2 linked regions of the Caenorhabditis elegans genome follow. The protein of the gene in region 2 interacts with the protein of the main gene of each other region in a biochemical or structural test. Each region holds a gene or a part of one and is shown on either strand. Other genes may lie near its edges. The genes, in order: slc-36.1 and ppk-3.

What was found.
Region 1: the proteins of ppk-3 (region 2) and slc-36.1 form a complex in vitro, tested with the Caenorhabditis elegans proteins (one study listed by BioGRID).

The regions. Positions count from the first base shown.
Region 1 is NC_003281.10:13,305,866-13,313,775, reverse strand, and holds slc-36.1 (Amino acid transporter transmembrane domain-containing protein), read right to left. Parts: upstream 6,275-7,910; 5' UTR 6,269-6,274; coding exon 6,110-6,268; intron 6,046-6,109; coding exon 5,965-6,045; intron 5,908-5,964; coding exon 5,819-5,907; intron 5,068-5,818; coding exon 4,975-5,067; intron 4,927-4,974; coding exon 4,842-4,926; intron 4,791-4,841; coding exon 4,613-4,790; intron 4,282-4,612; coding exon 4,184-4,281; intron 4,049-4,183; coding exon 3,933-4,048; intron 3,121-3,932; coding exon 3,061-3,120; intron 1,679-3,060; coding exon 1,573-1,678; intron 1,521-1,572; coding exon 1,457-1,520; intron 931-1,456; coding exon 824-930; intron 758-823; coding exon 626-757; 3' UTR 387-625; downstream 1-386. Other genes in the region: Kinesin-like protein klp-19, read left to right, coding at 6,584-6,694, 6,748-7,860.
Region 2 is NC_003284.9:12,969,434-12,977,538, forward strand, and holds the start of ppk-3 (1-phosphatidylinositol-3-phosphate 5-kinase), read right to left. Parts: upstream 6,211-8,105; coding exon 6,132-6,210; intron 6,083-6,131; coding exon 5,957-6,082; intron 5,783-5,956; coding exon 5,669-5,782; intron 5,617-5,668; coding exon 5,281-5,616; intron 5,090-5,280; coding exon 4,821-5,089; intron 4,763-4,820; coding exon 4,169-4,762; intron 4,010-4,168; coding exon 3,515-4,009; intron 3,468-3,514; coding exon 3,376-3,467; intron 3,059-3,375; coding exon 2,423-3,058; intron 2,366-2,422; coding exon 2,155-2,365; intron 1,997-2,154; coding exon 1,262-1,996; intron 1,025-1,261; coding exon 624-1,024; intron 462-623; coding exon 209-461; intron 1-208. Other genes in the region: F11C1.10 (Photosystem reaction center subunit H), read left to right, coding at 7,659-7,799; F11C1.9 (uncharacterized protein), read right to left, coding at 7,811-7,930, 7,978-8,105.

The sequences.
Region 1 (7,910 bases), on a different chromosome or scaffold from region 2:
TTTGATAAAAAATAGTTTTTTTTGTTAATTTTCTAAACATTTTTCCAATTTTTCGGTTTTCCCGGTCTCGCCACGGCAAATATTGGTTAAATGCGGAAAAGGTGTGCGCCTTTAAAGAGTACTGTAATTTCAAACTTTTGTTGAAACGTACGGAATTTCATGATTTGCAGCAACACAAGTTTGAAACTACAGTACTCTTTAAAGGTGCACGCCCGTTTGTATTTAACAAAATATTGTCGTTGTGAGACCGGGTACCGTATTTTTAGTGTGAAAATTGCAAAATTTTGCGGCTGGGTAATATAAAATTGAATCGAGATATTTAAATAAATTGGTTAAAATTGATACCACATTTAAATAATATTTCAAAAAATTCGATAAAAAATATTCACAGAAGCTCGAATTTTATTAACAAAATAAATAGTACATGTTATTCGGGAATGAAACGAAAATGAAAAAAAAATGCCGCAAAAATATGAAAAAATCATCATCACAAATTGAACAACCGACAAGGAAGGACACGAAATATACAAAAAAAAATTCCAAAAAATTCCATAAAGGTGCAATAAAATTCTGGGAATTTCCAGCTAAAACGCTGAAAATATTTAAATATTATAGATATTTAAATCTATGCAAAAGTTTTTGCAATTTCGATAAGTGCACTATAGGTTCCCGTTGTGAATCCAATAAAGGCAAAAGTGAGAAGAACGATATTTTTGATCCATAATCCAGTGCTCAACTCGTTTTTCGCGTAGGATGTCTGAAAAAAATTCAATTTTTTTCATTTTTAATTAATTTAAAAAAATTGGAATTCAAAAATTCCTACCAAAAGTTCAATGCACGGAGGGAAGAGAAGAGCCATTGAAGCTCCAGAAAATGCTCCGATTAATGAGATGAAAAGAGCCAAATGAGGAATAAGCTCAGCTATTGCACCTGGAAATTTTTTTTCAAAAAATTAGAAAAAATCAGTTTTTTTCTAAATTTTTATATAATTTTTTTCTCGTCTAAATTAATTATTTGATATCAACCTGAAAAAAAACCTTTGATTTTTATGTGCAATTTTTATAGTATATTTCCAAAATGTCTCAGAAAAAGTCTGGATTTACCGAAATTCTCTCAATTTTTATTTCATTATCGATTTGAAACACAATTTTCTGCGAAAAAAGTTTAAATAAATGTATAATTATCGATTTTTAGACCAATTATTTTATTTTTTTGATCAAAAATGTCAGAAAAAGTCTCAATTTACCAAATATAACTGTTTAAAAATTTATTAAAATTTTCTAAATTTGTTATGATTTTTTTCTAAACTTATTATTTGATTATTATTTTTGAAACACAATTTTTCCGCAACAAAAAAACTTAAATTATCGATATTTAGGTCAATTTTAGATTTTTTTAAACGGAAAATGAAAAAAAAAATAATTTTTGCGAATAATATTTTTTTTTTGAAACTTACAAGTCAAAATAACTCCGGAATATCTGGCAATGTAGATGTACAATGTTTGTTTATCGACGGGAATCTGAAATTTTGAAGAATTTTGACCAATTTTCATGGAAATTTCTCCAAAAAACCTTTCTAGTAATCCATTTTTCGATTCTTTCCATTGGCACATAGAATTGAAGAGGATAGGAGATCATGATGCACGCCACAAACATTAATTTTATCGTTTGATAGAATCTGAAATTGAATTTTTTTAAAATTATTCTGATTTAAAAAAAAAAAAATTTTTTCATTATTTATTTTTTTTTTTGACATATTTTTTATTGATGGCCCCCAGTTCGTGAACATTAATTTTATCGTTTGATAGAATCTGAAATTGCTAAAAAAGTAATTTTGAAAAATTATTTTTTAGGCATTGTTAGAAGAATTTCTGCCTTTTTTACAAAAAAACTTTTGTTCCAAGCAATTATAGCAATATTGTGAATGAAAATTTCGCTGTAAATGATAGAAAACAGTCTCAAAAATTGAAAGAATGTTTTTTTTTAATTTTTTTTTGCATTTTTACGTTACCCAGCTAAATTTACTGGTTTTTTCTTGACTTTGAAATTAAAAAATTTGAATTTACGGAAATTTCCGCGAATTTCTCTACTTTTAAAGAGATTTTCTTAGTATTTTAAACAAAATCCACATATTTATACTACATCTTCTCTTTTTTAAAGTACAGTTTCCCCAACTTTTCGTTTTTCGAATTAAAAAAATTCATTTTTTGAGTTATATAATTTTTTGATTTTTCTCTGAATTGTGTCAAAAACGAGAAATCGGAAATTTTTCAGCTTTTTGAAGAATTTTGTTCGATTTTACCTGAAAAAAATCGATTTTTTAATATTATTATTCAGTTAACCCCCAAATTCGTTTGATAGAATCTGAAATTGTTAAAAAGTAATTTTTAAAAAATTTAATAGCAAGGAAAACTGGTATTCAATGCATTTTTAAAAGAATTTCTGCCTTTTTTACAATAAAATTGTGTCCCAAGCAATTATAGCAATATTGTGAATAAAAATTTCGCTCTAAATGATTGAAAACAGTCTCAAAAATTAAAAGAATTAAAAAAAAAATTTTTATTGCATTTTTACGTTACCCAGCTAAATTTACTGGTTTTTTCTTGATTTTCTTGATTTTTCTTGATTTTTCCTCGTATTTATATAGCACAATTTGTTTTTGAAATTAAAAAATTTGAATTTACGGAAATTTTCGCGAACTTCTCTACTTTTAAAGAGATTTTCTAGGGATTTTAAGCAAAATCCGCAATTTCTCGGTTCACTCTGAAAACTGAAATTTTTTGATTTTACTCCGAATCGTTTCAAAAACGAGAAATCGGAAATTTTCTATTTACTTTTTCGAAGAATTTTTTCGATTTTACCTGAAAAAATCCAATTTTTTAATATTATTATTCAGTTAGCCCCCAATTCGTAACACATTTGTTATTTAATTTCTCTTCTGTTATTATTGAGTCACATACACAGACACAAAAGCGTAAACGGTCAGTTGATCAAAGTCCAAACAATTATCTCTGCTTCTCTAAACTCTCTCTCACTCTCTCTCTTCATCATTAAACTTACGGTGTCATTGGCAAATTGAGGGTAGCTGTGTCTTTGACATCATTTCCAAGTGATAAATATCTGGAAGAAAATTAAAAAATTTTAAAGAAAATTAGGAATTTCCCATGAAATCGAAAAAATTGTAATTTCTGCAAGAGAAAATCAAAATTTTTTATATTTTTTTAAGTGAAAATCGGAAAGTTTTACTTTCAAAGAGAAAACCGATTTTTTTTAAATAGAGAAAATCGAAAGAATTGTAATTTTTACCAGAGAAAATCGGAAAAATTTTGATTTTTTTCACAGAAAAACGGAAAATCTTGATTTTTTCAGAGAAAATCTAATAATTTTCAATTTTTTTTTCAGAGAAAATCGAAAAAAAAATTATTTTTTTTCACAGATAATCGAAATTTTTTAAGTTTTTTAAGAGAAAATCGAAAAATTTTGATTTTTTTTCACAGAAAATCAGAAAATTTTGATTTTTTCAGAGAAAATCTAACATTTTCCAATTTTTTTTCAGAAAAAAACGAAAAAAATTGCTTTTTTTCAAAAAATATCGAAAATTTTTGTTATTTTGTTCAAAGAACATCGAAAATTTTTGATTTTTCTCACAGAAAATCTAGCAATTGTCAATGTTATTTTCAGAGAAAATCGATAAAAATTGTTTTTTTTTCCAGGGAAACTCGAAATTTTATTTTTTTTCAGAAAAAATCGACTATTTTGATTTTTTTTTCACAGGAAATCAGAAAAATTTGATTATTTTCAGAGAAAATCTAATAATTTCCAATTTGTTTTTTCAGAAAAATCGAAAAATTTTGATTATTTTAAAGAAAATCTAACAATTTTCAATTTTTTTTCAAAGAAACTCGGCAATTTCTCCTTGTTTCCCACCGTACCCATAGAATCCAGTAACGCTGAAAATCGCGAGAACGACAAGGCAGGATGAGTTCAAAACTCCATTCCAAGAAATGAACGCATGTGGAGATTGCATTCGATTTTCAATTGGCATTATCTGAAATTAGTTGGATTTTATATAAATAAATTTATTCGAACTGTCAAGGCGGAGCCTAGTTTTGCCAGTTTTGCCATTAAAACCGTGCCGCAGGCTTGCAAAATTCACAGATCGATCTCCAGAAAATCCGCTTACCACAGCGACTCCTTCGAACGCGAACATTACAGTTCCGAAGAAAAGTGGCAAATCCGTGGCTTTTCCGAACCACGGGAGAGAAGAAATTGGCCGGAGATCTGGAAAAAAAATTGGGAATTTAAATTTTTTTTGAGGCTTCACGGAAATTCAAATTTTCTGGAAAAAACATCTTCGCGGGAATTTCGAATTTTCAGAGAAATTTTTTTGAGAAAATTACATTTTGTTGGGTAGTTCAAATTTTCTGAATAAAATTTTAGGCGGAAAATTCAAATTTTCTGCGAAAAACTTTAGCGGGAATTTTAAATTTTTCGGCGAGATTTTTTTTAATTTTCGGGGAAACAACTTTTGGCGGGAAATTCAAATTTCTTGAGAAAAATACATTTTGGCGGGAATTTCAAATTTTCTAAGAAAAAAACCAGTTTTTCACACCTGAAAGGAAGAAAAACAGAACAACGGCAACTGCAACCACGTAGACAACATTTGCAGCCATTGCAAATGGAGCAAGAATTGAAAGACGACGAATTGAACAAATTGAGAGCATCGGAATAAGGAGCAGAAGCATCCAAACTGCTTTTGACAAATGAATTGACGTGTTATTGTTGAAAAACTGCAATTAAAGCTTAATTTTGAGTAAGTTTTTTCGGAAAATTTCCCTTACATCCTCCAAATTATCGGCCATAAACACAAAATATACACAGCAGAAGCCCAGTTGAGAGATGAACATATTTACATTTACAAGTTGTCTGAAATTAAAGAATTTTGGGGTTAAAAACCCTTAAAATTCCCCGTACTTGAAGAAGTATCCATTCCGCTTTATCCACGGTGGTCCCATTTCCACGGCGCCTCGCATAATATTCGCATAATCGATGAGATCTCGACCATTTCTGAAAAAAATTGCATCAAAAATAGCAAAATTCTTGCTTCAAATGACAGAAAATATACCCAAATAACCGAATATAACTGTAAAAAAATTTAATAAATTTTTCTAAATTTTTTAAATGATTTTTTAAATTTTTCAAAAATCAAAGAAACGGCCGAATTAAATCGTTTCTGGATAAATTCGTCGGGTTTTCTCGGTTTTTTTTTGTATATTTGATTTAAAACACCATTGGTCAATTTTTGAAATAGTTTATCATGAAAAAAATTATTAAAAAAATATTAAATTGCGGATTTTAGGCCAATTTTGACATTTATGACAATTTCCCTAAGGTTATCAAGTTTTTTTAACGGAAAAACGGTTAAATATTGATTTAAAACACCGTTTATCAATTATTTAACCGTTTCTCCGTGAAAAAAAAACTTGATAACCCTAAGGAAATTGCCAGAAATGTCAAAATCCGCAATTTAATATTTTTTATTAATTTTTTCATGATAAACTATTTTAAAAATTGGCCAATGGTGTTTTAAATCAAATATAGAAGAAAAATCTAGAAAAAACGACGAATTTAGCCAGAAACTATTTAATTCGGCCGTTTCTTTGATTTTTGAAAAACTTAAAAAATCAATAAAAAATTTAGAATTTTTTTCAAATTTTTTACAGTTATATTCGGTTATTTGAGTATATTTTCTGTCATTTGAAGCAAAAAAAAAACTTTTTTTTGGCTCTACTCCGCCTTTAAAAATCGCTTAAATCACCTGTTACACACAAAATGAGCGGCAAAAACGACCTGCCGCATGCAATATAAACATATCAGGCAGATGAGCACTGTGAGAATTAATCCGAGCTGGAATTTATGGGGGTTTTCAGGTTTTCAGAGAAAGGCGAAGAAAATAAAACTAACAAAAAGCCCAGAATGCTTGAAAGCTAGCGGAAGGGACAATAATCCGGTTCCTAACATTGCTTTGACCATGTGGATGAATGCCTGAATTATAAAAATTTAAATTTAAAATTGATTTTTAACAAATTTTAAAGTAAAAATAATCCACCTGCTCCGGAGTCAACGAATTTTCTGTCGGAAGACGATCTTGAAATAACGATGTGTCCTCGGAAACTGTATTTCTTCGTGGTGTCTGTACCTCTGTATCTCCGGGGGCCTCCGGCTCATTATCAAATTCCTGATAGCCGTCTCTGGCAGGATTCGCCATTTTTCGCTGAAAATTATTTTAAAATCAATATATTTAGTGATAATTTGCTCATTTTCGAAGGTTTATGGCTTAATCTCGGGAAGAAAACATGTTAAAATACAGAGAAAAGTGAGCAAAATGATGAAGAACTTCTTCATTAATTAAATAAAAACAGAAAAACATTTTTTTTTTCACTGGGTCCGCAATTGTGCGTGAACTCTGACGTCTTGTCCGTAAATACACTCGCGGCGCGAAATTTTGATTTCAAAAGCCTCCGCCCCCCCCCCCTCTCATTCATTCGTGAAAAATCATTCATTTTCGTGTTTTCTTCCCGAGATGAGCTCCGATGCTTCTCTCCGGGTTGTGGTCCGTGCTCGGCCTATGAATGGTCGAGAGACTAAGGAAGGCGCAAGTCGATGTGTCCAGTTTTACGAGAACACAAAGCAGGTTAGTTTTTTCCTGCGTTTTATCCGAAAAATCCTAAAATCTTTGTTTTTCAGATAGTGATAAACGAGTCGGCAACGTTCACCTTCGATGCGGTCTTTGCTGACACGTCGGATCAGGAGAGCGTCTACGAGACAACTGCACTGCCCTTGTTGGATCGAATTTTCGCGGGTTTCAATGCGACAGTGTTGGCTTATGGACAAACTGGAAGTGGAAAGACCTACACCATGGGCACTGAAGACAACGTTGGCACCGACGAAATGCGTCGTGGAATTATTCCGCGTCTCGTCAGTGCGTTGTTCCAAAGAATCATGAACACCGAGGCTCCAGAATCGTTTGCGGTGACCGTTTCCATGTTCGAGGTCTACGGAGACAACGTGTACGACCTTCTTCGTCCGGACAAAGTCAAGCTGAATGTGCACGGAGACGAGAAGAACTGCACCGTCGTGAATCTGACGGCAGTTCCTGTTATCGATTTGAAGGGAGCGCTCAAGCAGCTGGCAGTCGGATGCCACTATCGAACAAAGGCGGAAACTGCGATGAACGCCATGTCCAGCAGGTCTCATGCGGTTTTCACAGTGTTCGTGGAGAAAACTGCCACTGCAGAGTGTGATAGCGCATTCAGCGCGAAGCTCCAATTGGTCGATTTGGCTGGATCCGAGAGGCTGAAGAAGACGGAAGCCGAAGGAAATCGTATGAAAGAAGGCATCAACATCAATGGTGGACTTTTGATTCTTTCCCAAGTCATCGCAGCGTTGGCCACGAAGCAGAAGCACATCCCATACAGAAACTCTGTGATCACCCGCGTCCTTCAAGATTCTCTCGGTGGAAATTCGTTCACAGTCTTTCTTGCCTGCATCTCTCCCGCTGATTCCAACTCTCAAGAGACTCTCAACACGCTTCGCTATGCAGATCGTGCCAAGCAGATCAAGAACAAGCCGATAGTCAACAAAAATCCGAAAGCCGAGGAGATCGCCATCCTACAAGCTCAACTGAAGCGCCTTCAGAAAGAGAATGCTGACCTGAAGCAAGGAATCGCGCCGGCTGAAGTCCGCTTCAACGATGCGAACAATTCTGCAGAGATTCTTTCTCTCAAGGAGGAAGTTGTTCGGAAGACTGAGCAGTTGAAGGAGCGTGCTATGAAGCAATCCGAGTGCATCATTCGAATGGTAGGTTTTAAAGCTTTTTTATTCTAATGCTGACCAATATCAATGTCAAT
Region 2 (8,105 bases):
GTTTATTCAAAATAAGTGACTGTATGGGAAATTTAAAGGATTGATTTTATTTTCAGACTTAAACGGTAGAAAATAAGTCGATATCTATTCTATCTTTTTGTCAATTTTCTACCTAGCTCTACGTCAATATAAACTTCTCATCAAAAAGTCATGTTCATTCCAGAAATCAATCAGAGTTTATCGCAAAGTTAAACGTTCAAACACTGACCTTATCCAACGTATACGTTCTCATGTAGTCAACAATGCCCAGAATCAATTCTCCGTTGTCATCGTCGACACCAACCAGAAGCGAGTAGTCCATGATGTATTGAGAGCTCAGGAAGTGGCTGTCATTGCTGATCGCTTGATTCATGGCCGCTTTTGAGTGCGGCAGCACATAGAGCTGCTGATTCCAGAGGTCTTTCACAAAGTTTTCGTCCAAAAGAACCATCTCGTTGGCGCTTTTTCCAGTCGATGCGAGTCTAAAAAAACGTCATATGATCTTTAAAAACACAAAGAAAAAATGTATGATCAATTAGTCATAATACACTTAAAAGCAAAGTACGTCAGAAATTATCTAAATACAACAACCGGGAAAATTTGGTTATTTGTACTATTATTATCAGTATATACCTATAACCCACCTATTCCGAAGAGAGCCCTTCAGGTCCCAGACTTGGCTAACATTGTGATTGTAAAACAGGTACTCCATTACAAGAATGTCAACTTTCAATGTAGTCGTCTTGCTCTTGTATCCTATTCTAAACACTCCATATACTTTGCACAGGGTCGTCAATTTGCTTTCGGTCGCCGACGTTGTCAGATAATCAAAATAGTTGGGGGCAAACTTTACAAATGACTGAATCTCAAACCGTGACATTTGCTTCACCACAAATCGATCATCTTGAGTGCGGTAGAAAAATGAGCCGGATTTTCCACCTTGTGGTGTCCAGAAAGTGCTGTTGGAGAGGGAACGGATAAAAGTCTCTTCTCCTTCTGCAATGAGAAGTTCACGAAGTTTTCGGAATTTCTCGGCGTACAGCATCTGAAAAAATTGATATAATTTTGTCACATTTTAAGGCCCATTTTTTTACATTACATCTATTTTCAGCGTCTAGACGTAATAACAACTTTATTTAATATTCTATATGTGCCCTAGACCAATTGAAAATGTTGCACTTTTTAATGAGGCATCTGAAAATAAAGGCTCCAATATACAAAAACAAAAAAAATTGAGGGTGAGATTACAAGGGAATTTTCTCATAATATATAGCAGACTTACTTTCACATAGTATGACGCAGATTCATCCTCAAATTCCACCTCCAAGTGTTGACTAGAAGCGAGGTTTTCCCCATCATCCATCTGTGAAAATTTCAGAGAAGAGCTAGCCGAGTCCATTGAAACAGTGTCAGCTGCCTCAGGGATCTTATTGTAGTCAACTGCAGACAATGCGTATGCAATGATACTCCCAATATCTGGCTTGAAGTTTCCTCGAGTGTCTTGAATATCTCGTACCACTACTCCAAGTCTGGGTTGTAGCTTGATGGCAAGGTGAAGATGAGAGGGAAACGGATTTTCCAGTTTTTGAAGTGTGGCAATCTCTTGAATATCTTCTGGAGTTCTCTTGGGATACTTAATTGCTGCACAATTCTCATTCCAAAGAGCAATCAGATTGTATGTTACTTCTCTCACTTTCATAAATGTGCCAGTTACTTCTCTGTACAACCGATCATTTGACCGGATAAGATCCTCATCACCAGAGAGAATGTTTTTAGCAAACATCCTGCTCTCGCTTGCCAATGCCATTGTGTTCCGGATTGCACCAGCCAGTTTGACAACTATCGGAGTGATCTGAACTTCCTCATCAAGTTCTGCCAGCTGTTTGTTGGTGTCCTCACAAGCAGTCAGCGCAAGAGTGGCTATCCTGCTGACATCGTCCGAGAGCTCTTTTCTGCTCACTTTCAAAACCTTGACGCTGCAAATGATGGGCGAGAAGACAACACTGTAGGGGCGTATCTGAAAATATAAGGCTTTGCTGATTTTATAAAGTTTTATAAAGTATGCTTATATTAAAATAAAAAATCGCTTCTCAAACATTAAAACTATTTAAAAATTAAATACTTTGTATTTTTAGTATGTTTCTGTTTCTTCAATTTTTGTTGAACAAAACTTACCGCTATTACTTTGAATGTTGTCACCAAATTATCCATTGCAAAAAAGTACAACTTTTCATGGAAAAAGCAATGCGAGCATTGATTCTGATTAGTTATTGGGTAGATTGTGTCGGTGGTGAAGCACGAATTTCCAATGTACTCTAAGAATTTTGCAAACGACAGATGCCAGATTGCTTTGTCAAATTTCACCATTTGTGATGAACAGTTGCATCTGAAAATAACGAAATTTAAAAAAAAAGTTTAATAAAAGCGAAAATAATGTTCTTACTTTCCACAATTTCGCCATGTCATGATGCTCTTCTGCTGTTCTGATTCTATGGCGTTTTCTGCTTCGTTCACAGTTTGAGTTGAAATTTCTACGCAAACTTTTCCATAAACCAACTTTCTTGAATGATCCAGCATAGGTACCTCACAGTTTGATGACGGACATTCATAACTACGATTAAAACAGAACTTCACAAGAAACTCTCCGATTGTCATATCATGGTCCTTGTAGTACTGCATACTTACCACCCACGGACGTACACAAAAGTACGGAGCGTTGGGTGACTTTCGAGAAAACGAGCCAAAAAGGACAGCAAGTGTCTGATGAACTCTTGGATCTAAAACATCCTTTGCACGGAATGGCTGCTTCTCGGTCTCCACAATTTTTCTATGCTTCACAATTTGAGCAGTTCGTCGCCGAAAATTGATTCCTCCAAAAAGGCGGAAAGATCTTGCCACATTGTCAAGGATCGCACCACGATTACATTGAGCAAAAGCGTGTCGACGGTCTACCAGAAGTGGTTCTTTCTTTGGGATAGGTACAATATCTTCTTCGTATCCTTGCTTGATGAGCTCAACATCGCCAGGCTTTAAAAGTTTATACAGTGGTTGCTTGAAGTAGGCAATGAGCGGACATTCCCTGAAATTTGTGAATAAATTTTTCTGGTGTTTTTTTAAATTTAATTTTGAATCTATGTTGAAAAATTATGCATGTTTTTGAAAAATATTTTTATGAATAGAAGTCGTTTTCATGAATTGTAAACTAATCTTTTTAACTGATTAGATATTCATGCTAGAAATATATTTTTAAAAAACTTCTATGTTAGGCTAGGTTTAGTGTTGTGTTAGGCAAAACTTTTACAATTGCTTTAATATGATTATTTCATAAATTGCCCGCAGTGTGCACTCTGACGTGACCGTGTTTGCAGATTTTTATGAGGCGCTCTTTTCACTCACCTCCCGGTTGCAGTCTCCAAAAGTGGTGGCTCAAATTCAATCACTGGTGAGCTTGACAGCATCGTCGCATAGAGATTCTTTTCAAATTCAGTCTGAAAATACAAAAACATATGAGAAACGATGTTGATAAACCATCAACCTTTTCACCCTGCGAGTAAACGATAGCACGGCGTTTTTCACAAACAACGCAATCAGATTGTCTCCTCGCAATTGTAGTATTAAAAGCATTTAGATAGGATTGCTCCAAGTAATTAGAGTAGACAATAGTGACCAGGAACTGCACAACACGTTTCACGGCCACTAATTCTTTCAAATCATCTCCATGCAAGAGCACTGTACATCCAGTTTCCTTTTGGCAATCAGCAAAGATCATCAAAGTCTTGATCCTTCCGTCCTCCTGTTGCATATTCCGTTGTTGAAATTCCGGGCAACATCCTAAATTTTGCTCAACCAACTGAGAATCTGAGTTTGAGACAATATCAGCTCCAGTGGCTCTTGAAATACGTTGTAATATACTCATTTTCACATTGACCGCTACTTTGATTCCACGCTTGTGAAGCAGTTGAGCAGCGATATGCGAGACTCCTCCTTCCACTAGAATCAATGAAGCACGTTTGGTGGCAATTCGATCAATCTGGAAAATTGTTTATTCTATTTAGTTTCGATTTCAATGGTTGTATAATACAAGTGCATTTATTCAGACGTGTGGTACTTATTCATATTGTCAACTTTTAGATTAGCAACTAAATCTGACACACACACAGTTAATGACTATTTCCATGAACATACGCACCTGCTTCTCTAAAAATTTCTCTTCTTGCACAATAATCGGCTCAATAGATGAAAGTTTGTTTGAGACTCTTTCATATTCAATTGAACCGCTAACAATCATAATTGACTCGGTCGTATGGCTGCTTTCATCTTCTTCTGACAAACTTTTGTAGACTAAACTTCTACTGCAAGCCACTCCCCAAATGATTTCCGAATCAACTTTCCCTTCTTTCTTGTGAACTTTCTTGACGTGTACGTAGTCAGCAATATTCATTGTGTCTCCACTTGGAACGTTCACAGTTACATTCTCCACTACTTCATAGACACTCTTCAGAATTAGATCTCTCCATTTGTCTTCTCGGATGTACTCTCGTTTCATCACTTCGTCTAGAATTCGTTCAGTATTTCGGCGGAACAACTCTTCCAAATTGTCCCGCTGTTCTTCCTTCGCTGCGTTCATAACGGATTCATCAAGTGACAGGGACGGAAAGGTGATTTTACGATCAGTAGTGGCTGAGGTTGGCTCCGCAGCTCTGGCATCCATCATTTCTGTAAACTCGTTGGTTATCGCTCCAGCGAGATTTGCATACGCAAAAACATCAGCTGAGTCGGAAGTCTGAAAGTCAAACAAAATAATAAATTATTTCCACAATTAAATATTTAAGCTTCCTCACTTCATTGTTGATAACACCGTCCATTCCAGGATGCATTGTTCGAAACCAGTCTGGTCCCGATTCCTCTTCCTCGGTGATCATTGGATGGGAATGACTGTTTGTGAGCATAGCCGAGTTTGATGCACAGAGATCCGCAACTGATAGAATTGTCGGAACTCCTGGACCATTGCTACTTTGAGCCAACGAGTTGCGGCGGCTTCCAAGTTGAGGTGGGGATGTAATTTCCGGAGGCATCGACGATTCTGGGGGGCAGAGTGACCAAATAGCTCCTGAAATTATTTGTCTTTAATTTCTATGTAGAATGTTTGTGTTTAGCTAAACTAATAGAGTTATGTCGTTGTGAAAATATGAACAACTGCCAGTGTTCTTGAAAGCTCAAGCCTCGTAGATACATTTTTAAAAAGACAATAAAAAATTAAACTAAGAATCCTAATGCCCTCTTGGAATCGGAAAATCTCACCATTCGAAACTGTTCTCACAGTATCCGAATTCTTGTGTGCAGTATTCCTATCAAAGCTAATTTTTCTGCTGTTCACTGGCGTCTGACTTCTTGTCGTCGACGTCGTCGGCGTCTGCTTTCCCTCTTCGGCAAGTCGTTGAACCTTTCGAGCACAGTAATCACAAAGTCTGAGCTCGCCCATGTATCCCAAAGCTGCTCCGTCAATGTGACTACTACAACATTTTGCACAGAAAATCTGTCCGCAAAGTCGACAATGATGACGTCGTCGGAAAGTTGTGAACCGTTCTTCGCACTGGTAACACTCTCTTCCCGTTGAGTCAGGCATCCAGTATTGTTCTAAAAAAATTTGAATTGACGTCAGAGTGCTTATAGAATATGAAATACTTACTGAAATTGCTGTCGTTGTAGTCTTTGAGCTGCGGGTTAACTTTTGATTTGAGTAATCCTGTGAACTTATCGGTTAAAGATCTTTGAAAGCCACTTTCTTCGGATGTTCGGGATTCTGGAATAGAGGATCATTGTTTGTCGATCAGATAATAAGAAAATTTCCGATGTTTTTATATTATAGAGTTATTAAAATCAAACAATTCATCAGAATCGAAATGAATTGCAAAATTTGTTTCTCCGAAAAATGCACAAAATAATTGTTATATATTTTTAGTCGATGAAAATCTACCTCCAGACTCCGTCCTCTCCAAGTTCTGTCTTTCTTCTGTGGGAGGCACAACTCCGTTTGGCTGCGGCGATCCATCGCTTCGGAATATTTGCCCAATAATGTTTGAAAAGTAACCACCTGAAGACACTATCAACTTTTATTAATAAAAATAATTCAAATCACACAAAAAACTTACCGGAAACTGGTGTTGGTTCTTCTGTTTCTGGTGGTGGCTCGAGTTTTTCAAAAAACTGCAACTCGCTGGCATCCCCCATTACTCTGGAATTGATAGATCCGAGTATTTGGATAAATATATAACAAAGCACTAGCAGAGAGATTTAATTGGAGAAAAAGAAGGAAGAGATCCAAGTGAGCGGCATGGGGAAATGAAAGAAAGATCAAACCATCAAAACAGGCAAGTTGCGGAGGCAGTGTTGCTAGCGAGAGACTGTGCTAAAACAGGAGGGTGTTGGCAGAGGAGCGCATTTGCTGACCTCTTTGGGTCAGCAAAGAAAAGTTATTCCCGCGCAATTAGACGGATAGGCGGAAAAAAACAAGGTGTGTACATGCAGTGTTCCATGTTTCGCTGTTTATTTCCCGGGAAAAAACTCATATTGATATTTCAGAAAAGATTGCGAAATCTTTCTTATATATATTGAAAAAAGTGCAATTTTTTTCTAAGTTTTATTCTCAACTCCGCTCGAAAATCGACAATAATGTATGGGAAACCAAAAACCAAAAAAAGAGCAGAATCTCATGCTCTGCGATCACAACTAATAAAATTAACACCAGGAGCGTGAACAAAAATCAAATAAAACTGGGAATGCATGTCAGATGCAACTTTGCCACACTACTGCAAACGTGTTGCGCAATGTGCAGCTGGTCACAGTGATGAGTCTGTAATGTCTGTATTGCTTCAATCAGTACCACCAAACTATGACGAATACTTCCTCATAAGCATTGCTGTTCTTATGAGTGAAGTTGAGGTTTAAAAGTAATTATTTATGAAATAAATAACAAATTTTAGTAAGACAATTTTCAATTTCAACCTACAAAAAATACATGACAGACAATGCTTTTAAGACCAGACGAGATCCAGAAGAGCATTAAATGACATTATGTATATACATTTTCCTCTCTACCGTAACTGTTTCGACAAAATATGTGCAAATATTTTTCTACGTTTTTGACAGATTTTTTGCTAATACTGAAATTAACCGAAGTATAAGTCGTCATAATAGAACAATATTTCACATGTCATGCTTTACAATTCTGGAATGCTAATTAAAGTACCAATTATATTATCCAACTTTTCACATGCTTCCTCGTTCAAATTTTCTCACTGGCCACGGCATGTCACCATTGATCTCTGAGCATCGAAAAAATTGTGAGCCCCGCCAAGATGCCGCGGCGACGCCCCCAAGTGAATTCGCCCAATATTTATCTCGTCGGCACCGGACACCCTCTAGAGAGACCATCTCCTACTCATTTTTCAAATCGGCCCCCGGCTAGTCTCGCGACCTTACCACACTTGTTGCCTTTTTACTTATTTAGCAAGTTACTGAGAGTCGTACAAATTTTTGAGAATACCGTTTTTTTTCTAAGTTTATTAACTATCTGAAAATGCAGATTATGTTTTATTAACATGTTGACAATTTCTTGCTTCTATTATATTTTTTTTTTTAAATACAATTTCCCCATATGGCAAATTTCAGTATTCACTATGAGCTTTTCAAAAGAAAACGAAATAGATTCATTTCCAATTGATCGTGTGACCGGAAGAGTTCGCGGTTCAGTGAATATGATTGATATACAGAGAAATGTGGAATGGGTTGAAGTTAGCGGACGGTGGAGTAGAATGTCGGTAAGAAAAACTTACAGGTCCCATTTTGGTTCGTCCACAGCTTCTAGAGCAGTTTCTGGAGCAGTTTCCAGTTCAGCAGTAGTAGAAGTAGTTGTATCTCGTATTGTAGTAGTTTCTTGACTTGCAATTGGCTGTAAGATTTTCAAAAATTTGCAAAGGAACATAAAAAATTACTTACTGGTTGCCACCACGTTGCAAATAATGTTCTGCTGACATATTCAAAAATAGAAATCTGATTAGTTTTCTGAATTTCGGTGCGATAACGAACTTTCGGAAAAAAGAATAGATATGATCGTCGATTTGAAT